2 linked regions of the Drosophila melanogaster genome follow. The protein of the gene in region 1 purifies or fractionates together with the protein of each later gene. This does not show direct contact. Each region holds a gene or a part of one and is shown on either strand. Other genes may lie near its edges.

What was found.
Region 2: the proteins of mrj (region 1) and Hrb98DE purify together in Drosophila melanogaster (affinity purification with western blotting, with the first as the bait; one study listed by BioGRID). This does not show direct contact.

The regions. Positions count from the first base shown.
Region 1 is NT_033778.4:16,213,921-16,228,398, reverse strand, and holds the start of mrj (mrj), read left to right. Parts: upstream 1-6,605; 5' UTR 6,606-6,729; exon of another isoform or gene 6,730-6,763; intron 6,764-7,249; 5' UTR 7,250-7,276; intron 7,277-8,275; exon of another isoform or gene 8,276-8,347; intron 8,348-8,689; exon of another isoform or gene 8,690-8,761; intron 8,762-8,953; exon of another isoform or gene 8,954-9,025; intron 9,026-14,478. Other genes in the region: Tsf3 (transferrin 3), read right to left, coding at 69-371, 440-807, 1,663-1,756; CG15706 (uncharacterized protein), read left to right, coding at 3,232-3,292, 3,484-3,629, 3,690-5,102; CG7798 (uncharacterized protein), read left to right, coding at 5,772-6,218.
Region 2 is NT_033777.3:28,588,768-28,606,277, forward strand, and holds Hrb98DE (heterogeneous nuclear ribonucleoprotein at 98DE), read left to right. Parts: upstream 1-11,639; 5' UTR 11,640-11,750; coding exon 11,751-11,801; intron 11,802-11,938; coding exon 11,939-12,428; intron 12,429-12,761; exon of another isoform or gene 12,762-12,901; intron 12,902-12,930; exon of another isoform or gene 12,931-13,080; intron 13,081-13,109; exon of another isoform or gene 13,110-13,249; intron 13,250-13,379; exon of another isoform or gene 13,380-13,519; intron 13,520-13,572; exon of another isoform or gene 13,573-13,722; intron 13,723-13,788; exon of another isoform or gene 13,789-13,928; intron 13,929-14,004; coding exon 14,005-14,180; intron 14,181-14,244; coding exon 14,245-14,551; intron 14,552-14,603; exon of another isoform or gene 14,604-14,755; intron 14,756-14,840; coding exon 14,841-14,914; 3' UTR 14,915-14,931; intron 14,932-15,293; exon of another isoform or gene 15,294-16,328; intron 16,329-16,694; 3' UTR 16,695-17,010; downstream 17,011-17,510. Other genes in the region: Noa36, read right to left, coding at 9,415-9,870, 9,963-10,454; CG9986 (uncharacterized protein), read left to right, coding at 17,401-17,510. UniProt on the Drosophila melanogaster protein: This protein is a component of ribonucleosomes.

The sequences.
Region 1 (14,478 bases):
TAAAAGAAATAGTCAAAGAAGGTTATTCACAAATATTTGTGCGCAAAGATTGTATGCCTCAAACTCACACCAAAATGACTGCGCACATCATCCAGACGAGCCCAGGCCACATTCCCGCCACCACTGGTCAGGCAATAGAGAGCTCCGCGGCGTCCCCAATGCTTGTCGGTCTGGTCACAGCTATCCGGTTCGTAGCACATCTCGCACAGCGAGGGATATCGGTTCTTTAGGATGCGATCCTGCTTGGGATCGGGCACCCAAGGACCAGCCTTGCAACTGGGACCAAAGTACTTGGCTGTGGATGCTATCCGATCCTCCGTGACGGTCATTTCGGGATCACAAGTCTTCGAGACCATGGCAGCTTCAAAGTACTGTAAAGAAGTCGTATATACAATCAAAATTGGAGTACTTTTATAAGATATCCATTGAGGTGACCTACATTAGCCAGGACCTCCGTCCAGTGATTGCCCAGACCGTAGCCAGGATGGCACAGCCTTGCACCTCGAAGATCATGAACAGTATGGATATTGGCGTGGTTGTCCACCACCGCCACAATTTCGTACTCAAAGTGCGACTCATGGGAGCGCAACTCGCTGGCCACCAGGATCTCAACGCTGGCCCAGCGTGCGGCCACCAGATCCTCCGAGGTGAGCACTCCAAAGTGGGCGGTGCCCTTGTGGATACGCCTCACGCAATCCAATCGATCCACGCCGATGACGCACTCGATGTTGCTCTTCGCCTCCAGCAGCGGACAGAACTTGGGGGTTTTCCGATAAACGCCACGCGATTCCACCACACAAACACGCACTGCGGAAGGAGGAGGAGAAGCAAGTAAATCTTTGCATAAAGTTTGGACATCTGCTTAGTATACGATCGGCGAAAAACCAGTCGCTAGCCGCCGCATTAATAATGATTTTGTTTATTTTGAAGTATCTTTCGCATGCAGTTTTTCGGAAAAGATATTATCTTTGAGCTGGGTATTTCACTTGTCTGTTTTAAATTAAAAATTCCCCTCAGGTAACGCAGTTGTCGGGGAAAACCTGATTAAGTGCGCTGCATTCGCAGAATTCGCTTAATGGTGCAAAACTGGGTACAAGTCAGTTCTGCCCGGACGCTTTTTGGGCAGTGGATCACGAGCTCCAAGGTCGGGACAGGTTTTGGAACGGCTGTCTCTAGCGGATTTTGATTACACCCGGTGGAGTGGCAAGGTCGTCTGCTCTCTCGCAGTGCATTTCGATTAAAAGATACATGATGATTGGTGGTTTTTGAAACGGTTTTTATGTGTAGGAATTGTAATAAAAAGTTTAGTTTTACTCTCGACCACTTTTTAGATTGACTAACATTGTTGCTTGAGAAGTTATCATATATATTTGAAATGTAAACAGCTGCTGTCGGCCTTTACAGCATCATATTTCATAGTTTAATGGCTTAAATGATTGGTAAACAAACATAACTTCAGCAGAATTTAGTTGCATGTTCAAAATTAACATATTAAGTGCAACTTTAGACTTGCTTATGATTAAGATACATCTTAATTACAATCACAAGCTCATGTATCACTTATCGCCAACAGTTCGTCTACTAATTTACGCAGTTTGCATGCTTTTTATTAATATATTTCCAGACACAAGGCAATACGCCCCTCATCTTTGATTGACTTACATTTTCCATCATCGGGCGGCTGCACAGCCACGCACATCGATATTGATAAGAACGAGGCAAACAGCCCCACCAAAATAAGTGTAAGCCACTGCATTCTGAGCTTCGATTGCGTCAACTGCTTGTTAATTGTCAATTCACTCACTGAAGATCGTCTAACAGTCGAGATTAGGTTAGTTAATCAATGACTAGTTGGCTTCAAGCCCGAACCGCTCGCATTGGAAGATCGACGGCAACTGAAGGCAGCCCTCTCCCAGATGCCAGCGAGTAAAACCTGATCCGAGCAATCCGTAAGCTCCGGCTGCAGAACGAGATCGCCAGTAAATAAATAATAAATGGAATACAAAGCAGCTACGCACAGCTGATGATGAGTCAGGCGGGGTTTTTTGGATAGCTCTCTGATTGATTAGTATCTTTTTGCGTGAGAATCTAAGCGGGGATCACCTATATAAAAAAAAAAACATTAATCCTATCTATACATTAAGCAGCTGTCCAGTCCAGCGCTTTATCAATTATGTTTGTATATACCAAACATATGATTAACGAACGCCTTATCGGCCAACTTGACTTATCAGTTTCCATGCGAACTGCATGCCTTTCGGCATTATTTGCTTGCCTCAGTCTCTGACCGCAGCTCTTGGCGTCCATATACTCAACTTGATCTCTGGGAAATCGTCACTTGTGGGTGGATTTTAATCGCGTGAACCTAATTGCTCGACAGATAATCAATATACTTAATTAACACTATATGCACTATACACGTTTCGTGCAATTTCATTGTATTCAAAGCATTTGCTCATCACAACTTAACGTAGTCAAGTGAAGCATTTCTATGGCTTCCCGGTTATAACTTGAGTTAGCATCATTCACGCACCTTGGGTTTTTTTTTTCTTCTCGTAACTCCCCTGTTATTTCTAGGGATTTCTAAATTGTGTTTGATTAATGATCAATCTACGAAAGTTATTTCGGCTTTGGCAAAAGAGCAATTTTTTTCTGTGTCAAGTTAACAAGTGATTTGGTACCGCAAACCGGTTTTTATCTACAAAGTATAAAAAAAATATCGCAAGTTATATGAAAATTACTAATTGAGTTGGTTGGTACAAGTGGGGGGGGGGGGGGAATCTTGGACATGCCTCAAGGGCATATTTATTATGGCAGGCCCTAAAATCTTTATCGCACATACGGTCTTAATTTTCCAACAAAATCTAACGACTTTGGTGCGAAAAGATAAGATTCGTTGTTCCGGAGTGTTATGCTCCCTCCCTTTGGCTATCTCAATAGAACTTTTATGCAGACGATTACAGACTGCTATATAGTCTGGACTAGCATCTTATCGCGATGTGATTAGATATAGTTTAGCATTCTCTGATTTACATCCATATCGCTGTGACTATTTAAACACTCTATCCACCAGACGACAGATTCCCTAAGAACGTCGAACGGCGAAGTCGAAGACGTGCGAAAAATTATGATCTTATCTGGGTAGGAACCACATCTCACCCGGCATAACCAGAGGATTGCATGGATATATCCGAACTGTGATACACTAGCCATAATTTTACAGACTGCACAATGGTGCGATTAAACAGGCGCCTGCTGCCCATCAAGGCACATTTCTTCTTTTTCATGGCGGGTGAGTGTAAAGTTATAACTTAACAATCCAAAATTAAAGCCGATTTCGCACTTCGTGAGATTCTTTCGTATCAAAATGTTCTTATCGCTGACATTATCGAATATATGATGTGAGAATCTGCTGCAATTATAGAAAGATTTCTTGGAAATTATTGTAGTTTATAAACTCATGTGCACATTGTCAACTTTTAGCCATGGGACCCATATTGCCACAATTGTCGGTGATCGGCAAGCAGATCGGTGTTCCACCGGATGTTATGGGCTATATTACGGCCGCCTTGCCCCTACTTTATGTTTTAGCCAAACCCTTGGTGGGTTTCCTAGCCGATTATTTCACGGTGAGCTTGATATGCCTAGTAACTATTAATATAAATACTAAACTATAATCTTTGTTGCAGAGCCTGCGCAAGTTCATCTTCATCTCCCTTATCCTCATCATGACACTGGCCTTCGCCGGCTTCTATTTCCTGCCCGACAACTCACATTTCATTCCATTGGACGAGGGAAGTGCCCAATGGAATGTAACGTTATTGACGAATCCAAACGATTGCAATACCATTATCCAATCCTCCAACGCATTTTGTCAAACCACTCATCAGGCAAAATGCATTCAGGAAGAAAAGGAAGTAGGCGAATTCTCCGCTCTAATTGTTGCCAACGAGTCGGGCCTCAATCTCAACCAGAATCTGCTTCATGGCAACGAGAGTTATCACATCTGTCTCACGCAACCAGCAGCCATCGATTGGAACAGTGCATCCTGCGAGGTGCGACACGTAAATAGCTGCATCTATGGTGCTGGCAAGTTCTGGCTGTTCGTATGCCTGCTCTGCATTGGAATCGTTGGCTTCAACGTGACAAACTCCATATCCGATGCCTGTTGCTTTGACCTTCTGGGCGATGAGGAGCAGGAAAAGTACGGAGCACAACGAGTGTGGGGCACCATTGGTTTTGGAGCCACTGCCATGCTAGCCGGAATCGTAGTGAACTGGTGGACCACGGATGCGGTCAAAAGTCTGACGCCTGCCTTGATCATCATGTGCGTGTTCAGTTTGCTCGATCTGTTCAGTGTGTCCAAGCTGAAGCTGCCGAAACTGGGTGGTTCCGAGTCCATCTGGAGCGATGTTTGGCAATTGGTGCGCAAGCCACCCATTCTGGTCTTTCTGTTCTTCGCCACAATGGCTGGCATCATTGACTCCTTCATCATATACTTTATGTTCTGGCACTTGGAGCAGGTGGCCGAGGCCACTGGTTACATGCATCAGATCAAGTTGATCGAAGGTCTAGTGGTGGCCGCCGAGTGTCTGGCCGGCGAGGTGCCCTTTTTCTTCTACAGCGGAAAGATTATCAAAAAACTGGGCTATGTTCATTGCATGAGCATGTGCTTTTTCTTCTACGCTGTGCGACTGTCGCTGATCGCCTGGATTCCCAATCCCTGGTATCTGGTGGGCGTGGAGCTCTTTTTCCAGGGCATTACCTATGCTCTGTGCTATACGTGCATTGTGGCCTACGCCTCGGCGGTGGCTCCTCCGGGAACATCGGCCACCGTTCAAGGATTGATGGCCGGCATGGACGATGGACTTGGCTTCTCCATCGGATCCCTAATCGGCGGACTTATGTTCAAAAGCCTGGGCGGACGAGAGAGCTTCAAATACTTTGCCATAGCCGCCATTTGCACATGCGTAGCACACATCGTTATACGTCCCACATCCAGGAAGAGGCAATTCCTGCCGAGACAGGGATATGTGCCGCCAACGGAACAGGAGATCAAGCAGCCGCCCGCTCAGGAAATGGAGGAGATTCGTTTGGGATAAACATAGTATCAACACATGCCATTTTTATTGCATATTTTTGTACTAATTTTTTACGTTAAACAAAAACAAAGAAAGAACGACAAGTTGTCCAAAAGTTGAATGACTTTGCTCTCTCGGGGTTTTTGTTCGATTGTTGGCGCACACGCGATCTCAAGTGCTCCGGCCCCTCCAGCTGTCAACATGGTTATATAATACCTGAGCATCGCACAAAAGAACCCATTGAAAGTGAATCTGGGGCCAGGCAGATGCCTCGCTTAAATGGCGAGCGATTCCCACTCCATATATTAACGAAACTGGCCCGATCGGCCTGTTTCAATGATCGAGAATTGAAAGTCTGACACTCATCTGCATGTTTGGGATTTAAGTTAAGTTAGAGAATTGTAGTTTTAGTTCTACACCCTAAAATAACCATATATCTACTGATTTCTCAGAGCAATAGCCTTTCCGAAATAGCTCCAACAAAATAAAAGAATTGGAGATGGTTATGACTTCCAATCTTTGTCGCCTAGTGTTGATAATTTATGCTCGAGTGTGGGCCACACTTCAGAGCTGTCCAAATGAGTGCTTGTAAAAATTAGATTGGGCCAAGTTGTGCTCCGAATCTCGCAGCAAACTGGATGGCTATATAAGCCACGAGTTACCATTAGAAGCCTGCATTGTTTCTGGAAGATGTGGCCCATTTGGCTGCTGGTGCTCTTAACGCTATCACTGGCCACTGGCCGCCAGGTGGGCAGATGCAGTTTGGCCCGGCAGCTGTATCGATACGGAATGGCTTACAACGAGCTACCCGATTGGCTGTGCCTCGTGGAGGGCGAGAGCTCGTTCAACACAAAAGCCATCAATCCCTCGAACGTTGATGGATCCGTGGACTGGGGTCTCTTCCAGATCAACGATCGTTACTGGTGCAAGCCGGCGGATGGTCGTCCATCCAACGATCTGTGTCGCTTGCCCTGCCGCCTGCTGTTGAGCGACGATATCCGGTATTCCATTGCCTGTGCGAAGTACATCAGGAAACAGCAAGGATTCTCCGCCTGGGTGGCTTGGAACAATCGATGTCAGGGTGTCAAGCCCAATGTGAATCACTGCTTCCGGCGGCGACACAGAAATTCGGGTTGAGCATCGGTAAAAAGCTAAAAAAAATACGAAACTTAAGAACCTAAATGCAGAATAAAATATTATAATATTAAAGAGCAATATATTTTATGAGTATGAGCATTAAAAGAGCGAACAATTGTGGTGCGATATATCATCTGGTAAACAAGAATAGAAAAAACTGGTCTATACCTTTTTACCTTCAATTTATATTCAAAACTAACCGCCAAGCTAATAAAATTAAATATAATGTAAAATGTAAGTCAACATGTAGAAAACATGTCCAAAGGGATGTAGCTAAACACGTTATCTTACCGATGACATTTTTGAATTTCGGCTCGGAACCAGTTCGATTGGCAGAGCTAGTTGCTCCCCTCCCTGGGTCAAATCGATAGCCAGGCGACTGATAGTTGTCGCTGCGTTTTATCGCTTAAGTAAAACAGCTGTGGGAAAAGCGCGCTTGGCCAAAAGCAAAGTGGCGGTTGAATAATTTGTTTCTCGACCAACGAGCGCACGGATGCGTGCAGACTGACGGGTAATAAAGTGCAGTTAAATACTAAATTCAAAGTACTAAATACTGCTAAAGAAAACCAAAAATAGCGAAGCAGTAGATAAAAATACAAAAAGTGAAGTTGACATTGAAGTCGCTTCGTATGTGTGTGTGTGTGAGTGCTTAAAACTTGTGCTGGTGTGCGAAATTCTTTTGTGCTCCGTTTTGTTGTGCATTAAATAATCTCGATATAAGCTGAAAACCGAGTTTCAAATGCAAACGGCACGCTTCGTGTTCGAATAGTTGTTTTGTAAAAAATCAATAAAGCGCCGTAATTGTCGCCGTTCTGTAGTTGTTGTTGCTGCTGCTTGCTGCGACAGGAGTTTCCGCCAACAACTCGCGTCGTTCTCGCTCTCACCAACAGCTCTCTCTCTCTCTCTTTCCCCACGCGGCGTTGCTTATCTTATTTGCTCACACTTATTTCTTGTTTTACTATATCTCATGTTGGATTCGCATTTGTTAGATACTTCTAATGAAATTAATTGTTCGCTTGTTTTTCGGTTAGGCACCAAAGGAAAGAGATCATTTCCAGGTAAGCAACCAAAGCAAAAGAATAAGCGTAATACCAAATAATAAACAATCTAAGCACCGAGCGCAAACAGAGAAATGCGGAATTTAACAAGTTCAATAATCGAAAGTGCCTCTATTGTGCTCTCTGTTACACGCACGCACGCGGACGTATGCTAATTACAACGGTTCATTGCTCTGCTCATCGAGATTTTGACATATTGTTGCTGTCCCCCTTTGACATGTGGCGGCGTGTTTCCTCAAAAGATACTGCAGCTGCCTCTGCGATACCGTTAAACCCGTTTCTGACTCAAAATGCCAATTGTTTTTCGTTAACGCTTACTTTAATTTGCCTTTTTTGGCCAACTCGCAATTTGCCTGTCCCGCAGCTCTCTCAAATTTGTTGCAATTAAAAATTGATTTTCCGTTTGCCAAGTCAGCTTGTAAATAACAACAATAACAGCCAAAAATTGGTTACTGCAACAATGAAAAAGCAATTTTCCGTATCTACTACAAAAAAAAGAAACTAAAAAAAACGTTCAAAACTCAGTCAAGGCATTGTGCCCGTTTTATTGTTGCTGCTATTCGCTTGCCACACGTTTTGCGGCAGGCTATTGTCGTTGTTGCTGTTGCTTCCAGTACATGTTGCAATTCTGGGCATGCCTAATTTTCGGTTTAACAAAAGTTAAGTACTCTGGCTCTTTGAGCTTTTGCCCGTCGTTAACAAAACCGTTTTCCCTCCTTTTTCTTTTCTCTTATTTCTTTCTACATAAGCACAAACATCAACAATTGACAACTTGGGGCAACGAAAAGCAACGGCCATAAAAAAGTCTCGAATTATTTCGTAGCGTGTCCGATTGGCATCAATTGGTGGCGCTAGGCAATTGCAAAGAAATAAAGCACACTAGAAAAGCAAAAACAAACATAAATACATACAATTACCGAAAGCAATAGACTTGAAGACTGCTCAATATATGTGGAAAATCAATTATCAATTATTTTAAGCAGTAAAAAAAAAGTACTCTTCCCATACCGGGAATCGAACCCGGGCCTTCTGGGTGAAAGCCAGATATCCTAGCCACTAGACCATATGGGAGGCTATCTGTGTTGTAGCAAAGACTCGTTTTGTTCGCCAACATGAATGAATGCCTTGTGTTTATTTGTTTATTTTGCTTAACCCAGGAAAAACTATTAATACAAGAAAATTAAGATATGGAATGAAAACATATACAGAGGTGGTCAAAAGTATTTGAACAACGAGCTTTTTTTTTCAATTGTCAACTAATAACCATTGTCAACTAATTGAAAAAAAAAGCTCGTTGTGGAAATACTTTTGACCACCTCTGTATAATGGTCAGTCAACCCCTTTAACAAAGCCCAAAATTATTAACCCTCTGATGGTAACAAATAAAAAAAAAGCGAAATTAGGCAAAAAAGTTTCCCATACCGGGAATCGAACCCGGGCCTTCCGGGTGAGAGCCGGATATCCTAACCACTAGACAATATGGGACTTGTCTGGAAGGTGACTAAAGTGTGTCCTTAGTCTGCCTCTTAGGACATGTTTTAAAGTCACCACTGTATATTTTCTATTTATAAATTTAAAAATGAACAAGGCATAAAATTCCTTATAAAGTACGTGCACCATTTTTAACAAGGAAAAACTACAAAAACGTTTATATAACTTGGAAGAAAGTAGAACATATCCCATATGGTCTAGTGGCTAGGATATCTGGCTTTCACCCAGAAGGCCCGGGTTCGATTCCCGGTATGGGAAGTATTTTTATTTTATTTATAAGTAAATCAATTACCCTGCTTGAGAATCCCCATCAATCAAGCTCTTCCAGCCATTTCTCTCCCATAGCATCGCACAAAGGCATAAACTGGCTTGGACTTGAAAATCAGACAACAACTCCACTTATTGACCTGCACTTAGAGGCGGTGTAACACGAATCGTGGTTCAAGTGGTGTTTTAATGAGTCTCAGCTGGGTATGATCCGGCTCAACGAACTTCCTCGCTCCCTGCCAACCACTTCCATCATAAGCTGCAGCTGCAACTCAATTTTCCAAGCCCCGACACTCGATGGAAAAAAAACGGCTAATTCATCAAAAGTGTGGCAAAGCCGAGAGCCAAAAAACAGTGAGCCATTGTTGTTGCCCATCACGCCCACTTTTCGCTGGGGCTCGATCCATTTGATGCATGCTGGCAGTCGCTTGCCACTTTCCAAGTCAATTGAAAAACTCGTGTAGCTTTTTATATGCCATCATCTTGAACGAGCTTATGTATCGTATCCAGACATTAGAAGCGCGTGTGAGACATACGATTGAGCAAGAAGCGGAGAAAAAGGCAAAGCGTACAAATTGCCATTTTTTATAGTTTCTAAGTGAGTTTGTATATTTTTTCCCTCAAAGAAAGCCAAGCCCCGACAATCGATGGCAGCGCATGAGAGAAGCAACAAAAAAGACGGTAACTTTTTCGTTTCTGTTGAACGTTCAAGCAACGCCAACGCCGCCTGAGCTTTGTTTTTATTGTTAAACCAGTTGATCAGTTGAGCGACAGCAAGAACGAAAGACGCCAGCTGCTGCTGGCTATATGGTATGGGTATATGGGTATACATCTCCGACTTACCAGCTACGCTGGCTGCATATTAAGCGGCCCCTGCTGCGCGCCTGCGCGTCCAACGACCGCATTGTTGTGAGTTGTCTAAGCTCTGTTTGTTTTGTTTTCAATCCGCATCAGCCAGCCGGACTAGCAGGTAGGAACCAAGTTGTCTCCACTCGGGCTCGATCGTTCAGATGTGCAGGAGGAGTCAACTTAATTGAATTGTTGGGTCAGCCTCGACCGTTTCCGTTCCGCTTCCAGAGGACTTGATTGCTTAACACTATGAAAAAAGAATTTTTAATGACAATATGTGGCCTAACGAAAGAAGTTCAGTATAATGATTGTATTAATATCTTATTCACTTTGTTTTTAATCGCTTACACTATATTTGCTTTAGTTCCATTGTCTTCGCTAGGGTGAGAGTCACAACCTAGTAATGTTAATTGGTAGAAAATGAGAAGGCGACACGACTGATAAAAAAGAAAACTCCAATGAACTCAGTAATGGGGTTTTAGACTTTTAAGTGTGCTTTGTCGTCTATCGCCACCATAAAGGCAATTAACATGCAAACTTTGCCAAACAATCAATCAGCTAAAGGAGCCTCACGCACTCCCCATTTCTTTGTTCAAGTCTCGACTATTTCGTGAGTTGCAGCTGGAAAGAAAAACGTGTAAATTTCGTTTGACAGTTGACAGTAGGAGAAGAAAAAGCTAAAAACAGGCAATGCTCTTTTGGGGAGATGGTCAATGCTCTCGACAGTCCGAAATCGCAGTCGTAGTTTCACTTCACCCATTTAGCATGACAATCAGGCGGCCATAGGATGGGACACTAATACGCGGGGTCATGCATGCATGGTCTGCAGTTGGAATCGACGTACACACCTCTTTTGCTTTGTGTGCTGCAAAAAAAAAAAAAAAATGGCAGGGTTGGGTAAAAAGACAGAAACTCGAACCGTTTTCACTCTTAATTTTCAGTTTAGTGAAAATCCGCTTGGGACACGCCCCAGACTTTGTATCTCCGCCCCAAATAAAAATGAAAAGAAGGGCCCGCAAAGGCCATTGACACACATTTTGGCACGGCTTTGCGTGCTGGTGAGTCCAAGTCCAAGACCGAGGCCAAGATACTGTGGGTTTCTGATCACACCACGACATATGTTGCTATATCTTTCTGAAATTCGGGTGCCGAATATAAAGAAAGTGTTCGAAAAACGATACGATGCCGAAGACGCATGACCAATAAATAAATTGAAATATTTACGCTTCGAAGGAAAGAAAGAATCGCTGCGAAGTCTGTCTGGGAAGACGAACTGGTTTCGGGGGGAAGGCTTAGTTCCAAGTCTGGGTCCCTATAATCGCTTCGTTTGCCTCGGTGAGCCGCAGGCTCCACTACAGATCCACAGCTGCAGCTGTGACCCACTCCCAGTTGTCCATTTAAAGCGGCCAGACGACGCGACGCGGCCTGTAACGTATCTGCGCACATTTATCGCCATCGCAAGCTGGTCAGCCAGCTAGCCAGGCCAGCACTTTTTAGGCATTTTGCGGCAGTGGTTCGCGGGTCTAATGCCAAAAATCAGAAATAAAAATTTCACCTCCGGTCACACGCTTGAGAAGACACACTCGACAGCAACAGTAACGCAAACTGGCGGAATGAAAAGCGCCAAAAGGTATTGTGAAAATTGCAGGCTGGTTAATTAAACAAACTGCGCCCATGGCACATGAAATTGAGTGGAGCACAGTGAAAATGGGAACGGATGAAATAAAGCAGTCGAATTGTTATTAAAAGATCTAGTCTAGAGAAATATGGGCTTAACCAATCAAGCACAGTTAAATTTTATTAAAATATCAACTAAGTTAAAAAAGTACTTAAAGTTTGTTATAACAAGCCGCTTTCTTCAAATCTAAAATCTATTAAAGCGCACACACCTTTAAGCAATTATTGTACATAAATGAGATCGACTGGAAATTAGACAATAAGCCAGAGAGGAAATGAATTTAAAACAATGAGAAATTTTCAGCCTCTCTAAAACTCGAATGAAGCGTAGGCTTTTCTTAAGTGAAAAGCAGGCATTCAAGTCGATTCCACCATATAGCAAATAATGCATTACCTTTTTGGGCTTAATTTGATGTGGTGCCGTCGATTATTTTTAGCTTTTAGCTAATCCAACAGCAATTCAAGCCGCTCCATTTACTTGGCTGCGCATTTTGCGGCTGATGAGTTTTCATTAATTACCAAAACCGGGTATTTGGCCATTGAGGCGATTTTGTTTTTTCTTTTCGTCGTTCAAGTCGTTGTGGCTTCTTTTCATCGAGCCCATGAAGATAAATGAATGAATCTCCGGATGCACTTGAAGCGCACATAAAAATTGTTGCCTGTCAGCGTCATTGAAACTGTGGATTGGATCCACCTAACCGCCACCGGTGGTTGGCCAGTGGAAATCGTCTCTTGTAAACTTCAGTTCGTTTAGCTTACTAACTGTGCCTGGTAAATCAATCATTGCGTCTGCTTAGCTTCAGTTTCGGTCTCATCTTCGTCTCTGGCTATTTAAATTAACCGGTTCGCCTTGTTTGCGGTCCGCCTAATGAGCGGCACTTGTTGTCCGCTCAAGAGTTTTTGGAGAGATTGCATCCACTAAGCCGCAGACATGGACTCGCGGTCAGATACAGCCATCACCATAATCATATCCCGTGTCCAACTTCATGTTACCGAGGTAGTAATGCTTTCTCTACGGGGATTGTTTGTGTGGGAAAGCCTAGGGCCTATCGAATGATGAGCGTTATCGCTTACACGTGTCTCGGAACGCACAAAGTTTAATTTATTAATTGGGTTAAGCTCATAAAGAGGCCTACTCTTCATAAGCAGCGGGAGTGAGGAACTAGATCGATCAAATTGAAAGATGAGAAAAGATATTTTAAGCGAGAATAATATTATTAGAGATTTTAATCAAGTTTAAGGAGTGGAGCTCGTAGTTTCAAGTACCTCAAATCATTAGCTAAACACGTTAAATAGTTAACAATAATATTGGCTTAGGTTCCTGAAGATTCGCAACGAACAGCTTTTAGTTTTTGGTACCAACTGCTTAACAACTGAAAATGATGTCATTAAAAGACTTTGTGTATAGAGCTCGATTCTTCCCTTGAAATTCTAAAGAATCTGGCATTGCAACCTGATGATTACGGCAATCGTATTTCCAGTGGACTTGGCTCATTAGCAGCCTTGCTTTCCGATCGAATTCATTTGCAGCTATCCACTAAATTTAACCTTAGCACGATATCGCTGTACTTCGTATTTATAGAGAGTTAAATGCTGGCGCGTGTTACGCATCCCATAGATACATATGTGTACTGATACATGAATTGGATTCGATTCGATTCGATTTCCGAGTGAAGCCAAGACGAAGAGCGAAGGTTTTCAATGAGGCGCGGCAATTTGACCAAGACTGAGAGTTGCCATTGCTCAATGTATCTACATATCTGTAGCTCTATCTCTAGCTGTATCTATTTCCATTAATTAGAGGCAAGCGATGATGCGTCAGTCGGGTATCTTTTGTTTGAAACGGGCTTTGAGGCAATAAGCAAACTGGCAGGAGATATTATAATAATTTATATGATTTCGCGTTTTGTTCTTTTGGCCGCTTCTTCGCATTTCGCATTGCTTATTTAATTTGCCAACTCAACTTTTTCGCTCCGATTTCGCGTGTCATAACTGAGATGCTTTTTACCCCTGAGTCACGTTCAATGTCGTGGTGCTAGCCGTGCTTCTTCATTGCAAATTGGCCAGCACAAAAGAAAAGAAAGAAACAGTCAAAGTGGCTAAAAAGCATTTTGCACCATCACTTAACGTTGCAGCTTCCACTTAAAGTGGCAGTATGGACGCCTATCAACATTGTGGATTAAATAAAATTACCTTTCAGTGCGACAAGCAATTACTTCTCAATTACAAATTTACTATCTTGGCTTGGCGCTCTCCTCCTTACTTTTTATGATTATTGCATTCAATTAAACTAAATTGCTTTGGAAATTGGTCTCGTTTGGCCACTTGCCAGTCGTTTCACTGCGGGCGCCGCCATCTCTCAGCTTTCATTTCGCTGGATGGCTTTAATTCCCAACTATTTATAATAATTACTAAAGCAAATAAACCCACACAAAACGCAGTCGTAACTATAAAAAGACTTCGTTCAGCGTGAGCGGCAGAGATCATTGGGGCAGGGTCTCAAGCTGGGACGCCGGTGCCCATTTCCAACTGACCAAGTCCGTGAAGACGATAAACTTCAGATAAAAAAACTGCCTACGACGACGCGGCGTCTGCCTCGAATTTTTCATTCCAGCTGAGCAAGCAACTCACAGAGTCATCGCCATCGCCTGTTGACCCCAAAGTTTGTTGTACCCCAAGTGCTTGGAAATTCAAAATTCAAATGGGTGAAAGGGGTGCCAGAAGTGCTTCCAAAGTTTTGATGAAGTAATAAAGAAAAGAGGAAACTGTTTATGTGGTATCTTTAGAAGTTGTTGATGTGCTAATGGAAAACTTTGAAATGGTTTAAAATGCGTCATCGAAAAGAACAAATTTAATTTTAAATTAAAAGATATTGTGTACAAATTAATTAAAGAGCTAGCATTCAATTAAGTTGAAGT
Region 2 (17,510 bases), on another chromosome or scaffold:
GAGCGGGACGCTGCATTAATTAGAACACTGCGGATATGTGCATGTATGTATGGGTTTCAGGATCGAAATTACTTTCTTCGGGGCCATAAAGCGGCTCTTATCTAAATTAGGATGTTGCTTGTTTGCGGCTGTGTCTGCACAACATCGCCGTTTTCACTATTTGCGTAGGTGTTTCATTTCCGTTTCACAATTTATCTGGCGAGTGTGTTTGCCGGCACACTCAGCCGAGTAGCGCACCTTTAGCCGCCTCAAGATTTTCCTCTTTCCCTACTTTCACATGTGATTTTCCCTCGCGGCCTTATCAGTTTTTGGCGCGTCAGCCGTCGTCATCGTGATTCACATTTTTTCCTCCCTGGCCGCCGCTGTTTGCACTCGAAACAGTGACAGTAACCGAAAAATGCACTTTTAAAAGGGCCCCCGTACTCGGGGTTCGAATCGGACGATGCAGTTTGAGAATCGAGGGAATTTGGCGCATTTGGGGTGCGTGCCTTATCGCTGGGGAGCCCATGGGGCTACGACTCTAGATATCGCATAAATCAGAGCCTAGTCGCGCTTTTGCTTGATTATTTCCATTTTATCTATTTGGCTGCGGGTGGCTATAAAGTTTCTGGTTTTTATCTTTGTGCAAACACGGGAAAGCAGTGATATTAAGGCCCTGGCGACCTTATTTCCACCGGCCACCAAGAAAACAGCGAATTCTATTCTTTTAATTAGGAATCCGCAGAAGAGGTGGAACCCCTCAAAGGCAACCCAAACAGAGGAATTTCATTTTAATTTGTAGGGTAAATAGAAAATAGACGCCATCTTTTAAATTATGTAAGAATTTTTTCAAAACCAAAATAGAAGTTAATAAGTGCCACTGTTTGACTTTAATTAATTATTACTTATAATTATTTATTTCTGAACTCCAGTAATCTTATGCAAATATTTAATATAAGAATACATTGTAGTTAAAATAGGTACCACTTTGGCCGATTGTTCCTAATTTGTTTATCCTAATTTCACAGCAAATTTTTTAACCCATGTTTATCCGATCTTAAGTAATTTTCCAAACAAATTATATTTTGGCTCGAATCGCTCCAATCGATATAGTTGATTAGAACCCCGAGAGCCGGTTTTCTCCCACCAAACCAGTTTATGCAACCCCAAACTTTAGCTGGGATTTCGAGAGTGACCACCACCATATTGATCATGCGAAAGAATGTTTTGTTCAGCTCCCGTCCGAAGATACAGATTTCTTCTATCCACTCCTCTCAAAATACCCATGCAACTTAGCACCAGGCTGCTAATTACATATTCGTTGCCTGAAAAATTAACTTTCCAGCGGCGAACATTGTAGCATGCCAGTGGCGACAACGAGACTGCTGCCAGTTTTATAAAGTCCCCGCTGTGTTTTTTATCTACCTATCTGACTATCCGACTATCTAACTATCTAACAATATGTTATGAACTGAGCCTGGGCCCAGAAGCCGCCCATTTCAATGACGAGCGTTGCGTTGCGGCAGCCGAAAAGCTGTCAAATTGTCGAAAAAATTATTGTTATCTTGCTGCGCGTTATTGAGTGGCCGTGTTCACACGCAGCTCCAGCTCAAGATACAGATACAGCTACAAAGATACATTTGTATCTACACATGTCCGTACAAACAATTCAATTAATTGTTGTAGAGCGGAATATGTCACATCGGAGGGATATGGATGGCTAGCTTTGGACTGGGCATATAGTTTTTTTTTTCGGGGGGGCTGTAAGCCCAAACTCTTCGGTAGTTTATTGATTTACAAGCTGGGGCCCCCGTATCGCAGATAGATGCAGGTTTATGGGTGGCGTCCACTTGGGGCTCCAGTAGTACAACCATAACCATAGCTATCACTACAGCTGGAACTGGAACTGGAACCGACTTATCGCAGTGGCGTTGTGATTTTTTGAGTGTCGAAACGCCAAAGCAAATATGATTGGAGTTTTATTTACTCTGGCCCGTCCGATTGGGTCTTAATTACTTCCGAAAACAATGACAACCGATGACCAGTGGCGATACGAGCCCCGTCGCCGAGCATTAATCAATTTACAACGAGATTTAAGCAATGACATCGGTAAATAATAAAATAAATACAATTTGAATACCGGTTTGCCATTTTCTGGCTATCATTCATAAACTTTTGTGCGGCCTGACATGAAAATTAGCTCTTCAGCCAAGGCAGACAGCGCAGCGATCTCCGAGATCTCGTAGATCGGAGATCGCAGATCGGAGTCGTCTAAAGCTGGAACTCCGATCGCTGAAGAGCTCCAGACTCCGGAGTTCGAGTTGGCGATGGAGATGGAGACCTGAAGAGCATGGCTGTTGATCACGGTGATGACTGCGTAAAAACGAAAAGTAAAAACACCAAACTGGCACACAGCTTCGGATGCTTGAGATGTGTTGCCCGTTTGTGTTAATCCCATCAAGACCCAGCACATTATGAAGTAGCAACACCAGCAACAATAGCACCAGCACTACCACAAACATGGAAACAGCACAAACTGGAGCTGCACTGAAAGAAATATAGTTCATTAGAACCACTTAATACTAATACTAAATGTATCTATATTTGAACCATTACCTTACGCCGAAGTAGGATAGCTGCAAATGTATTATGAAAATATAAGAAATAAATAAAAGAACCGAATTTTGAAAAGTTAAATGCATTTTAAAAATTATTTAAATTCAAGGTCATAAATATGTCACATATGTAGACCACACCAGATAGACCCCAATTCTTTTCCGTGTGGAACCCGAAGCTGCGACTGGAGTCCCAAGTTGGAGCTGGAGTTGGAGTTGGAGCTGCATGTGGTGAGTGCTCATGTGCTCCACTGGAGGCTCCATCTCTACATCAACGGCACAAGTGACATAAGTGGCGCTTACCCGATGATGCGTGCGCATCCAACGAGCAGCCAAAAGTCAGTCCAGAGCTCCGCAGCTTGTCTTCATCGTTTTGTAAGAGTCATCTCATCATTTTGCTTGTCGCCATCTGGTTGCGACTTGGTCCGGCTGATAAGAACGTGTTAGGTGTACCATGGAGTTGTTAAATGCAGCACCGCTGCGTCGTGTGTGGTCCATCGATGGCGCTTGATAAGAGAATTTTGGATGCATTCGATCCATGGGTCGTACCGACATACCACGGCATGCGAGCGAGGGCTCTCCCGGTTTTTAGTTTTGGTTTTGGTTTTGGCCCGGTCTACCCATGACGTGACGGGCGGCTGACGTGCCAAGTGCCATCGAAAATGGCAAGTCATTGGCATTTCAACTGGACATGCGGCACCCTTGTTAGCCCGAGCTGTCTCTGACTCTTTGGTTCCAACTCTCTGACTGGGACTCTGCAGGGCATACATATGCTCATATCTGGCAGTGACTGAACATCCTTCGACGCATAACGGGCAGCACAGGATAAAAATCCAACCCCCTGCCCTCCGCCGGATGACGCAGCAATCGGCGAAAGCGTTAATTTAATAATGGCCAAATTTGTGACTGAATGTCGGTTACTATAATTTGGTGCAATATGGGAAATGTGTGGCACCTTTCCGGCACGGGAGGTGTGTTTGTTTTCCCAGTCGCTGCTGCCCATAATTGTTACACTCGGCTGCACCAAAGTCAAAGCTACAAAGTCAATGACATCCAGAGCAAACAGCGCAGAAGTGCCCGGCAAAACTGAAAGTCTTAATCAATCGATAAGTGAAAGGAGGGAAAACTCACGGGAAAACACAAGAAACTAAACCTAAAATCTTTGAATATTAATAGTAACTGAATTAAATAATTCCTTAACAAAGATGTATGTGATATGCAAATATGAAGATGCCTCAAAACGAAAAATAGAAAAGTATATAACGAAAATTTCCCTTTCGCTAAAAATCAAGTGGCACTAAAACACAAAGCCTTTTATGGCCGGCCACAATAATTTGCTGGACAAACAAAGATCCGCCACTTCATAAATAGTTTGCACTTGACAGCTACTGCAGCAGAAGCCGTTGATTTGATTCCTGCCCCGATCCCCAAGTACCCAAACCCCGATCCCCAATATTCCCGAACTGAAGTTGTGGTGTGAAGTTCTTGTGATTCACTCGGTCGGTGCGAAATCAAAGAGATCTCCGCCAGGCGGCGGCCAAAAGCATCATAAAAAGTTGGTACCTTGTGTCCACCAGCAGAGTTCATTGATTTTCTGTTTGGGCGGGCAACTCAACTCAATCAAAAATCCAAAACGAAGCTGAAGAAGAAAACAGGAATCTGGAAACATAAAACCAAACGAAGAACTTGGGAAAACGCGCACGGCGGTGGCACTCTATTAGCACCTCTAAAGCACAATTTACAACAAACATTTACAACTGTCAATTGGCAACAAAGCCGGCCAGCGAAGGGTGCATATGATGGCCAAAGAGGAGATCGGCCAGAAATTAAGGATTACAGGTCACCCGATGCGGCCACAAAGGCACCGCCGGTTTTAGGATTACGATGAGATGGTTTTTCGGGAACTGGCCGCTGACGAATTGCCGGCAATTAGTTAGCATTAAACAACAACTAATGGCATCAACGTGCATCAAGAACCTTTCAATAACACACATATCAGTATGAATGCACACAGGGCACACAATCGTATCTGTCACAGGGCATACATACATACATATAGTACGGTTTAAGAAACGAAATTAATAAAAATTTCACTTGAATTGACAAAGTGCCCGAACGCCGTGACGTTCAACTGACGACAAGTGCCACTTGACAAGCTGCCGAACTTGAAATTTTTTTTCATTTCAATATTTCATTGTTACCCCCGGCAAATACACGGCATATACCCAACATATAGAAGTCTGACTCTTGGTCTGGCTTGATTCGCTCGATGTGTTACCTGTCCGCCAGCCTCGTCCCACAGCTGGCGATTAATCTTGACATTGAGTTGCTTTTGCTGTTGCAGAGACAGATGCAAAGACAATGGCCCACTGGCATATATAAATGCGATTTTCTCGACCAGACACTGTTGACAATAAATAATTTAGCCATCTATAATGGCCCGTTGATGAGTGCTGTTTGGCCAGCGAGGAGGAGGAGACGCTCCCACACTTTTTCCACCGGCGATTGCATGCAAGATTGCGATCATAATCATGGGAGTTCACGTGCAGAGCACGCGGCCGCTGGAGGAAGGACAAGTGGCAAGACTCGAAATCCAGGACATGTAATGGGATGGATGTGCGAGCAAATAGATTCCCAGGCCGTTTGAACTGGTGCTTCACGACAAGTGCGGGTCATCATAATCATCGGCATCATCATCGACATTATTACAATCGACCGCAACTACTTTAATTACACTGTTAGCCGCAGGCCAAACTACACTGGTCAACAAACTCAGGGTGGAAAATCTGAAAGGTGTTATGTAGTAAGTTGGGGTTGGTATTCAGCTTTTTATAATATGTCAATGTACATTTTACTTATTCTGATTTATGATGAGCATAATAAGGGAAATATGTTATAAAACTGCAAAATGATATGATGGGTAATATATGGATCTATTTTTGGAAATATGGATAAAATATTGATATCATTCAGTAGCTTAGTACTTAGTACTTCGCTACTACTATAATTATGGTGAAAGTTAAGAGTATATACTGCTCACTCAAATGAGCAAAAACCTAAGCCATGTATTTCCTTGCAGTCCAGTGTAAGCTGAGGTTAATAACTGTAGCACGCCATGGGCGTGAAAGGTGGGCGTACCCGCTTACCAATTGTAATGCAAAGCGCGCGCGCGTGTGTGGGTGAGTGGAATGGAGTGGAGTAAGGGGATGTGGGGTTCGAACCAGGACCCTCGGGCGTATTGCAAAATTCAGCTTCGCTCGATGGCAGAGCGGAGCGTCTCGCCGCTCAAGTGCGGCTCAATAGCCCGCCGGGCTATTGACAGAAATCAAAACGGTCCAGAATGGGCGGACTCAGTGGGCTAAATGGCAAGCGCTGGCGAGATTTTTTGCTTCCTGCGACGGCCCCTTTTTTTGCAGGCATTTGAGAAGACGGCTTATCGTGGCATCAAAACAAATTCGTTTGAAATTAATTCGGAGATTTGCTTTCATTAGGCCGCTTGCCGGGTGCAAAGTATGTAGCTGCGTTGGCAAACACACAATGGCAAAAGGAGAAACCACCGACACGGCGTGCGGCTAATCCCTAAGCCAAACTTTTGGCTGGTGGAAGGTCGTTTCAGGTCCAAGTTTCGCCGCCCTCCATCCCCCGCCAACACGTGACCCTCAATTGTTACATGCCGTAAACCAACACCCACCCACCCAGGCCATTCGATTGTGTTCCGGAATCGCTTTTCTGGCTGCGTCATCACTTTGAATTTCTGGCGAAGAGCCGTGCATATTGCTCCTAATGCGACAGTTTAATTGCAGGTGAGGCGCATCGGGTCGCGTGCCCAGGGAAGCGCCGCTGATGCAATTAGACAGCCAACGACTTTCCCATTGTCCTGCCGTGACTTCTCCATTGAATCGCCTGTGTGCGGGCGGGCCTCCTGGTGTCGCTTTCCCGGCACAGTAGCTTCTGCCTTCGCCCAGTCCTGCTGTGCGGGTGCAGTGTGGCACACCTGGACGAAACTCTTGTCCGACTCGATGGCGATGGCTTTCTAACAGCTTTCGGTAAGGATGCTGTTGTCTGTGGACGTGTGCTGATTCGAATTAAGTCCTTATCAGGATTTATAAAGAATTTTTATTTGGATATTAATAATACCACTCATAAGCATAGTAATCAATATAATTTACTAACATAGCTTGCTTATAAATCAGTCGAAGACACTTTTCTCTGGGGAAGGCAAGGGTCAATTAACCCATCGTTATTTTGAGAACTTATTCTCAGGGACTCGCCCACAGGACGAAGTAGATCAAAGGCGTACCCCTGCGCCGAAAAGCGCAGACCAGGAACTTGGGTTCTCATTCCATCTGGCCAGAACTGGCCAGAAACTCGAACGCGGACCGAACAACAAAAAAAAGAGAAAAAACTTTCTCACATTACATCACGGACCAGTGAGGACGGCTAAAACAACAAGGACGAGCAACTGAAGCGCTCTAAATGGACACCGAACAACATCGTTTAATATTGATGGCCATTGTTTGAGCGCTTTATGATGGGAAAGTGAGCCCATCTCCGTGCCACTGCCTACGCTTTTCCACCGGACCACGTTGTGTTGGTGTTGCCGGTTCAAGTGAATATTTAATTAAATTGTTTTCTAATAACCACGCGCTACTTTGCTGGACGCAAAACACGCGTCCGCAAGCGGCGAGCGGCGGCAGGACACGCGGCATTCGGACCGATACCGGGACACACCTTGTTGTGCCAACAACATTAGCAGGGGCCTAAATAAAAAAAAGTACGATGAAAACGAGAGCCACCCCTTTTTCGCTGCGTATCCTGGTTCTAATTTTCCAAATTACGCACCATCAATCATCGCCAGCTTTGACGAACGTCGATGGCGAAGTGGATGTGGATATGGTAGATGTTGATGATGACGTTAGATACCACCCCCACCGAATCCAAACTACCTAGACCATCCCAACCAATCCAATCCCATGGCGCAATCACTTGAAGCGAGCAACGCTGCGGCAGCCGCAAGATGAAATTAAATTAAACTTCAAGTGGCCGCAAGGACCTGCTGAATCCTAAAATCCTAGAGTCCTTAACCCGTAACCATGGGAAGCTGTGCCGCTCCGGCTGTTTTCCATCGTAATTAACGCTAATTGCGTTTGGCCATAAGCCGCACTTTTTGACTTCTCCACGTGTTCCTCGGATTGTCCACAGGATTTTCCCACCTTAATCCTTGGCCATGGCTGTGTTTTTGTTATGGATTGACTTTGGCCGACAAAAATATTGGCATTGCATAAATAAGCAGTAGATAATGCTGATCGGAAGTGATTACAGTTTGCGTTTGGCATTTCTTGGGAATCCTGATCCCAGCGAGATTTTAAACCCGAGACCCATCCATCTGGTAATTGAGAATGCACTCCGGCTAATGAAGGCGGTCATCGTGATGGGAAGTGACCAAATTGGCTGGACAGAGTGGTCTCAAGGATTAATATCGCAGTGCAATTAAGAACTCAATCACTGTGACTCGACTCGGGTCTTGTTTGCCTCTCTCTGATTACATTTATGAAATTATTATTGATGTTTGGCACTGACCACCACAGCCCACAGTCCATAAATGGCACACCCCCTCCATCTAGCCCCCATAAGCCACCCCGTTTCTAATTTTGTTGAGTAGCCCTAACTCCAATGGCTTGGACATCGCCTCGGCCGGAATAGACAGGCCATTTTGATTGAAATGCAGACACAAATGCTGGCAGGCGGCCATTAAGCTGCTCCGATCTATACATAAGTATGGTCGTGTAAGTAACCACAGCAGGGGGTATCTTAGCAAGGCTAATTACACATTATACCAAGGATATGGTAGGTATCAATCCATCTTTAAAGTTCGTAGGGAAAAATATAAGTGAAGAGAAATCTTGCTTTAAATGTTTAATATTAGCTACTATAGAGACCGGATTATGTTTTAAATCAAAGGACTATTGTTCCCACCGCGACTGTATGTGCATCCCATATCCTCTCACACTAATCTGTATTATGTACACAGTTGATTTGCCTGCCACTCATGCCACCCAGTCCCCGACCCCATGCGTCCACATCCTCGCCCAGGACTCGCCTACATAAGTAACGCCACATATGATTTCATTCATATGCAGAAGAACTATGCTCCTCCCTTATATCAGGCCGCTCATTGATTTGCAATGCCTAAAATGTTTCAGACTGATGATGGGTCGAACCCTGCCCACATCCCGTGCCCCACATGGCCCAGCAACCATCGCCCATCTACCCATTGCTGTTGCTGTTCCGCTCTGCCTAACTGACAAACATTCCCAAATGCCGAAGTGCGTGTCTTTCGCTTGGTGTGTGTGGTGTGTTTGCCATCGTTTTTGGAAATATTATATGCTCATACCTCCGTTTTCGAGTAAATTGTGTAAATATTTGCGCTCGTAAGTGGATTGGAGATGGATGAGTCTATCAGCAGAGAAGTTGGCGCTGGCAGAGCCGTTGGCATCGCCATCATCATATGCGTACGGGTTGGCCCTGCTGCTCCTCCCTGCCCAGGGCCATTATTTCCAATCCGCACCCGCAGTTCCCCAGTTATCCTCCCTTGTGGAATTTGGATTCGCATTCGCTTGCGCATTTACCTTTCGACTTTCGCCCACAGTCCACTTGCAGCTTGTTGCATTTTATAAAATGGCTACTTGGAAACTCTACAATTTGACAAAGAATTTATTTCCCTATTACATCGAGAGAAACGACTGCACAGCCGAGAATTCATTCGCACACTTAGAGGGACTAACAAAAGGCCATTTACGAGTATATAAACAATTCAGCCTTATTTGGTGGCCTTTTTGTCGGTTTCCTTCTCCGGTTCACTTTCTGTGGTCTCGTCCTCTTCCTCATCATCATCATCGTCTTCATCGCTTTCATCATCGTAGTCTCCATCGGACTCATCTTCATCGTCATCACCCCCGTAGGAGTAGCCCCCACTGGCGGCGCCACCATAATAGCCACTGCCACCGGCTCCATAGTATCCACCGTATCCCTCCTCGTCGTCGCTGTTGCCTCCTTGTTGCTGTCGCCCGAATTTGTGCGACCGCGTGGACATGCTGAGGTCCTTGGTCACCGAGGTATCGTAGTTGCACTTGGGGCATGGAATTGGCTTGTTCTTGTCGTACTTGAAGCCCTTGCGACGCACGTGATCCTCGCAGTAACAGGTCTTGCAGCGCAGGCAGGAGTATTGACCCAGCTTGTTGCACGATTGACACTTGTAGTTCTCCGACTCCAGCACCTGGAACCGAATGGATTGCATTACCAAAAGGCGTCATATGAATCTCAAAATGAAGTTCGGAACAAGCTTAATGAGTATTTTTGGTTACCCACCTGACAGCTGGCCTGGTGCTCGAACTGATCGTCCTCGCACAGGAATCCGTTGCAGAAGGAGCACTTGAAGATGCGCCCACCGTGCTCCCAGACACCGCGTTCGCACTCCAGGCAGGTCGCATTCTGCAGCGGACACGTGCAGGCGTGGTTTTGGAGACACTTGCGTCCGTGGCAAACCCAAGCCTCGCAGAAGTCGCAGATGGCGCCCACCATTCCGAGGCCCGTGGTGTAGACGCCCGGATGTTTGACCACGCAGTCGCCGGTCTTTAGCATGCACTTGATTTTCCCGCACTGGGCGCAAATGGGTAATCTCTGAATGCTCTGGCAGAAATAGCAGAAGGCTCTCGACTTCTGCTTCTTCTCGCACTTGTCGCACTCCATTGGTGCATTGCAGGGCAAATCCGCAAGAGGCACCTCTCTGCTGCGGATCTCCTTGAGGCGAAGCTTCTGCTTCTCGGCCTTCTTACGCTGCCCAGTCTTCTTTTTCGGCATTTTTGAAATCAAGGAATTAGAAAACTTATTTCCTTACGTGTGCGGCAGTGTGGCTGCTGCGGGTGCGCCGAAAAATACCACAAAAAGCTTTCGAATATTCCGCTAAATATGTAGCTACATCTTGAAAATAGCTACAAAAAATGCGTTAAATTAGCATCGTGGAGTTAGCGGCGACGGCGGAGCCGAGTAATTTAACACATCATTTTTCTGGCCAGCGTGCATTTTGGAATATGCTCTGCGAGTGGAGATATTCCTTGAAAAGTAGCTAGCCGATTTTTTTATTGCATATTTTATATACTTTCTGAGTCCTATAAACTTTAGTCGTACATAGATAGTTAGATCTCTTAAATAGTTCGATTTATTAAGATTTTTGCATTTGTATTTTTTTTGGAATTTACCTATAAATAGCGAAAAATTAAATAAATAAATAAGATTCTCATTTTCCATATTTCACCGTTCTGCCATAGACGCTAATTTGACCCACATAGATTTTCAGTGGAAACAAGTGGAAGCAACAACCGATTAGTGTAACCAAATACCTTTGCTTTTATTTAGGTCTAGTATTTTTGTAAGGTCTGTCTACGGCTTTCCTTTCCACAGGAAAATATATTTTCAGTTTTAGGGAAGGGGTGCTACAGTGAGCGTCTTTCGTTCCCAGTGTCGTTATTTCTATAGTATTGCTGAGATATATATCAGAGCAGTAAAGATATTTAAATATAAGTTCTTCGAAATGGGTGGTCACGACAACTGGAACAATGGTCAAAATGAGGAGCAAGATGTAAGTAGCACACAAAACCGCGACTGCACAGGGAAAAAACTCAGTTCGGCCATAATCCCAATATATATATATTTTGGTGATCAACGCGCTTTTACCCATGCGGCAACTAAAGTTGATGTGCTAAAGCATTTCGTTGCGGTTTTGTTACTTAAGACTAAGACTAACAGTAGTTGTATCTTAATAGTGCTAGGGAGTACGATGCTGTCGGTATTGGTTTCTCTTTTAGCTTTTTAGTGCAAAAGGCGTGATCAAGAATACACATGTTACACACATTTTTTAAGGCATGGTGAAAAGAAACAGGGCAGATATTGTAAAAGTATTGTATTGACAAGGGTGTCTGTCAACTTATCGTTATCGTTCTAGGTAGTATCGAATAGGTGCTGGGTTTAATCGGGTTGTAGAAACGGTCACACTGTATTCAGTTTTTTCATTCGTCTCGTGTGTCAGGGGACTTTCTCCATTTGCAATAGCAAAAAAAATAGTTAGATTAGAAGTTGTTCAACTTTTGCATTAGTAAAATGGTGAACTCGAACCAGAACCAGAACGGCAACTCCAATGGCCATGATGATGTAAGTAGTGGATATTAAGGGTCTAGAAATTTCCTGTAAGCTGGTGTCTCGCCTTGCCGGTCGCCATTTTGAAAATTACGCATGTGTCTCAAGGGCGGAAAGTGAGGTTATGGCCATTGATAAAATCAATAATTTAGGACTTTCCTCAGGACTCCATCACCGAGCCGGAGCATATGCGCAAGCTGTTCATCGGTGGCTTGGACTACCGTACCACCGACGAGAACCTAAAGGCTCACTTCGAGAAATGGGGCAACATCGTGGACGTGGTGGTCATGAAGGATCCGCGCACAAAGCGTTCCCGCGGATTCGGATTCATCACCTATTCCCACTCGAGCATGATTGATGAGGCCCAAAAGTCGCGTCCCCACAAGATCGACGGTCGAGTGGTGGAGCCCAAGCGCGCCGTTCCCCGTCAGGACATTGATTCCCCGAATGCCGGAGCCACCGTAAAGAAACTCTTTGTTGGCGCCCTCAAGGACGACCATGATGAGCAGAGCATCCGCGACTACTTCCAGCACTTTGGCAACATCGTCGACATCAACATAGTCATTGACAAGGAGACTGGCAAGAAACGCGGATTCGCCTTCGTCGAGTTCGACGACTACGATCCCGTGGACAAAGTTGTGTGTAAGTACAACGCTTTTCCTAATCTAGACAATATCAAATATCCTTTAAGAATGATTTATCTCTTCGAGAGTAGACTGTTAGGAAAATCACATTGCCATGTTCTTAGATTTATACAATACAGATTGAATTATCTGCACAGGAAACGAATATTAACCCCATTTGTGTACGCGGCGTTCGTGTAGAAAAAAAGTATGACATGCAACCACCCCTAATCTATATGCTCAATCAGCTCTGGCACATTGTAGGGCTTCTCGTAAATGTCCATCAGCGTCGGATAAACGAATGCGCACTATAAGCAAGAAATTTCGATAAAATTGCAATTATTACAATATATCCACAGTCCCAGCTCCGCATAGCAATGTTCGATGTGCTTGTGCGGCGTTTGTGACTGTAAGAATAAATTCCAGCCAGTATTATATCATTGTTGTTGGTGCTCTTCGTGCATCAACGATGAAAGAGTATATGGCACACTATAGCTTGAATCTAAAACTGTTTCCTAATATCACAGTACTGACAAATTAACTGGTTTGAAACCATCACCAGGGTAGTTTTTTTTTAAACGCTGTGAGATGAATTAAAGCGTCGGCTAAGCTATGTTATGCGAATGTAAGCATTGCGCCTATTCAGTGTAACACGCAGCCTCGTTACAATAGTTCAATTAATTGCTATTATGGAAATCGATACACAGTCCCAGCTCCGCATAGCAATGTTCGATGTGCTCATGCGGCGTTTGTGACTGTAAGATAAAAGACCCAGCCCATATTATATCGTGTTGTTGGCGCTGTTCGTGCATCAACGATGAAAGAGTATAAGGCACAATATCACATTGAATTACCAACTATATGAAAAGAATGAGTATCTAAATGCCTTCGCTTACTTGAATATACTGACAAATCCACAGAATGGTGAATGTTATTTAGCGTGAATATATCTCCTAAAATTAGCTACGATTCCACAGTCCCAGCTCCGCACAGCAATGTTCGATGTGCTCGTGCGGCGTTTGTGACTGTTAGAATAAATTCCAGCCAGTATTATATCATTGTTGTTGGTGCTCTTCGTGCATCAACGATGAAAGAGTATAAGGCACACCTTGATTATCGAACCGATTAAACAGAAAGTTTCTAGATCAGCCCCTTCGTGGACGTCACAGTACTGACAAATTGACGGGCTTGAAAAAGTCGCCTGTATGGTTTTTATTTAAACGCTGTGAGATTAATTTAAGCGTCGGCTAAGCTATGTGATGCGAATGTATATTATAAATCAATTCTGTGTAACACGCAGCCTCGTTACAACTGCAAATCAAATGCACCGAAATGGTGAATGTGTACTATCCGATATCGATCCTAATTTTAGCTAAAATTCCACAGTCCCAGCTCCGCATAGCAATGTTCGATGTGCTCGTGCGGCGTTTGTGACTGTAAGATGAAATCCCAGCCAGTATTATATTGTTGTTGTTGGTGGTGTTTGTGCACCAATGATGAAAGAGTATATGGCACACTATCCTCCGGATGCACCACATAGGGAAGTTCATTTTCGAATACCACTAATAGCATGCTTTCCCTCTTTATTTTTGCAGTGCAAAAGCAGCATCAGCTGAATGGCAAAATGGTGGACGTAAAGAAGGCCTTGCCCAAGCAGAATGACCAACAGGGAGGTGGCGGAGGACGCGGTGGTCCGGGTGGTCGTGCCGGTGGAAACCGCGGAAACATGGGCGGTGGAAACTACGGCAACCAGAATGGTGGCGGCAACTGGGTAAGAACTTATTGATCGCCATCAATTCGATTTGAGGCTTATTACTGGTTAATTGGCATTGCAGAACAACGGTGGCAACAACTGGGGCAACAACCGCGGGGGTAACGACAACTGGGGCAACAACAGCTTCGGTGGTGGCGGCGGCGGCGGTGGTGGTTATGGCGGTGGCAACAACAGCTGGGGCAATAACAATCCGTGGGACAATGGCAATGGAGGCGGCAACTTTGGAGGCGGCGGCAACAATTGGAACAATGGTGGCAATGATTTTGGAGGCTACCAGCAGAACTATGGCGGCGGTCCGCAGCGAGGTGGCGGCAACTTCAACAACAATCGCATGCAGCCCTACCAAGGAGGTGGTGGATTCAAAGCAGGTGAGCAACAGCACGTCTGTTGATGCATTACTGATAACAACTAGATAGCAAGACACAGTACCCTGACACCTAACTGTTAGAGCGTCGATAGAGTTTGGCAGTTAGCTTATTAAACGCTGTGAGATCAACTGACGATGGCCTTCGCTATGTTATGCGTATGTAAGATAATCCCAGTACGACGTAACACGCAGCCACGTTACAGTTTTTTCATGAACAGTCACCACCAGTATAGAAACTAGACTAGAAAGACGATTGGATATGTTCCTAACGATCCTGGGTTTTCTTTTAGGCGGTGGCAATCAAGGCAACTATGGCGGAAACAATCAGGGCTTCAATAACGGTGGCAACAACCGCAGATATTGAGAGAGATTCCGGACGAGGTGAGACATCCAAATAACCACTACTAACACAAAAATATACATAGTCCAAGGCGAATTCAGGCCATAACTAACCGCTTATCTATCCCGTATGACCATTAATCTTTCGCTTGATTTGACAAACATATGTTGTGTGTTTTTTTTTTTTTATAATAGCGCCCTTATCGGCATTTTTGGTAGTTTATAAAGCATATTGAGACTAAAAAGCAAAACGGCTGAGACAGTCCGACCCACCTTACTCAACAAACTTATATACGTATTTACACTTTTAAGTATTTAGAGAACAAAAACCCATCAACCAATTAAGAACTCCTTTTCATACCAATTGTTTTAAATAACGTTTCTCATTTATCGACATTTTATAGGTGATAAAGTAAAAGTCGCTCAGTATAATCCCAAAATTCAAAGTCAAGTAAACGATACGCAATTCAATGATCAATATGATGAAGTATGAACGCACGTTCATAGTCCTAAGAAGTTTTCCGAGCACCACAAACCAAACATTACAGATTGATTGATCAGGATCAGTGCAGTGCAGTGAAGTCGTAAGAAGTTTGGTTCAGTCTTGGATTAGAACAGAAAGAGAGATCAGTACCAAGCAAGACCAGACCAATACAGAGTGCAGTGCAGTGCAGAGCAGTGTGTGAGCTAAACAGAAGAAACACAGCAAGTGGCAGTACACGTACACAGAAGGTGACCAGGATTCCATTCAATTTGTCTTTGCAAGCGATGATAAATTGAATGTCAAGAGGCGCATCGAAAACTATCCAATACCCACAGAATTGTAATCTATAATTTGCAACCCATATGTAGCAGCCCATATAAGTAACATTGTAATTAGATCCACAAAGCCGACGACAGGCCAAACATTTGTATCTCCACCACACGAGCAACCAACCAACCAACCTACTTAAAACAACCAGTCATAAACGAATCAGCTATGTAAAACTTCAAGGCGGCAGCCGAGAGATATGTTTCTTTGGTTGCAGACAGCTCTCCAGTCCATCGGCTGCCGGCAACTTTTGATAATCAGAGCAGAAAACACAAAATATATAAAAACATGTATTACATTTTACAACTTTACTAGGCTAAGTTCTCATAGAATTAAATCGAGTAGAGCGTGCGGAGCGACTTCTGCATCCATCCGCACGCTACCCTAGTCTTAATAATTTTACTATTCAAGTTCTAAGCGAACCTGACCGTGTGTGGAGGAATCTAGATACTTAGATTTTTGAATAAGTGTCGACATGGATATAACCTCTTCCGCTGCTTAGATGTAACCGATCAACAAACAACCTTTATTGTAATTTATACCTTTTAGCAAGCAGTCTGTCTGAGGAGTCAGCGCAATTATACTTAACAAAATTTACATTTTAATGTAGCTAAAAAATACAAGATGCAAAAAAAAAAAATAAGCAAGTGTCCCGCAATTGATGTAAACTCTGACGAAAGAACAAAAAGTATATAGCTAAGCCAAAGCCTCGTAGTTTTCTATATTTCTGTAGCAGCATCAGCAAAAGGATCTCGATCAGAATGAGAGTGTATTGCAGAGGTAACAAGGTGCAGCAAGTCTGACCAGGTCCAAAAGCCAGCCAAGAATATGTACTTTACTATAGCATTTGTTGTGGGCGGGCCATTAACGTCGTTCGAGAGTTCTCCTTTCACTCGCTTAACAGGAATCATTTTCCCCTTTTATTTGATTTGCCCCCCGCCTGCTGTACCATGTCATTTACAACCATGTATATTATTGTAATTTCTGTTGCCAGTTGGCTGCGAAAAGTATGCGAAGCGCTGAAAGACTGCCGCCGCGCTACTGAATGCAGCCACGGAAGGTGCCCGCGTTTGCTAGCAACTCCGGTCGCTGGGTTTCGGTTCCCTCTGGGTAAGTAATCCTCCGCAGATCCCAAATCCGGAAAAAGTTGTAACTTTCAGGTGGTCTGAATCGGCTCGTCGCACCTGAGGATGGAATGGATGTTGAACGGTTTCCCCTCTGCACCATCGTAAATATACGACTTTTATTTATTACTTCATTTTATTTTCATTATTACTATCTTTGAATAAAGAAATTTCAGAATACCAAACAAAATGATTTTCGTTTCATTTTGAATTAAAATTTCACCAGTGGGGGAAAATAACGGTATTTGAACAATAATGGCGTTGCGAATGTAACGTGATTGGCGTAAAATCGCAAATTCCGTTTTATATAGTTGAATGATTTTCAAAGCATTCATTTTGTTGCATTTAATGTTAAATTTTAATTAGTCCACTGAAAATAATAAATCATGATAAATGAGCACTGTGTCTGTCACTTTGTTGTTGGTTTGAGTCTTCTCTAAGTGGTGAATAAGTTTTCTGCGATATATTTAAGCGGTCGCAATACGGTCATACTAATTGCATTTCTTTTAGGCAGGGGGCGTTAACTTGCGAATTAATGACTATAACTAACTAAAACACCGACTAAGGACCTCTGAAATGGACTCTACTGCCACTCGCACGCTGCCCTTTGTGTACAAGTATAAAAATCATAAAGGCCAAGACTGCGAATCCCGGCTGGACATCACTTTTCCCTTTGACCAGGAAAA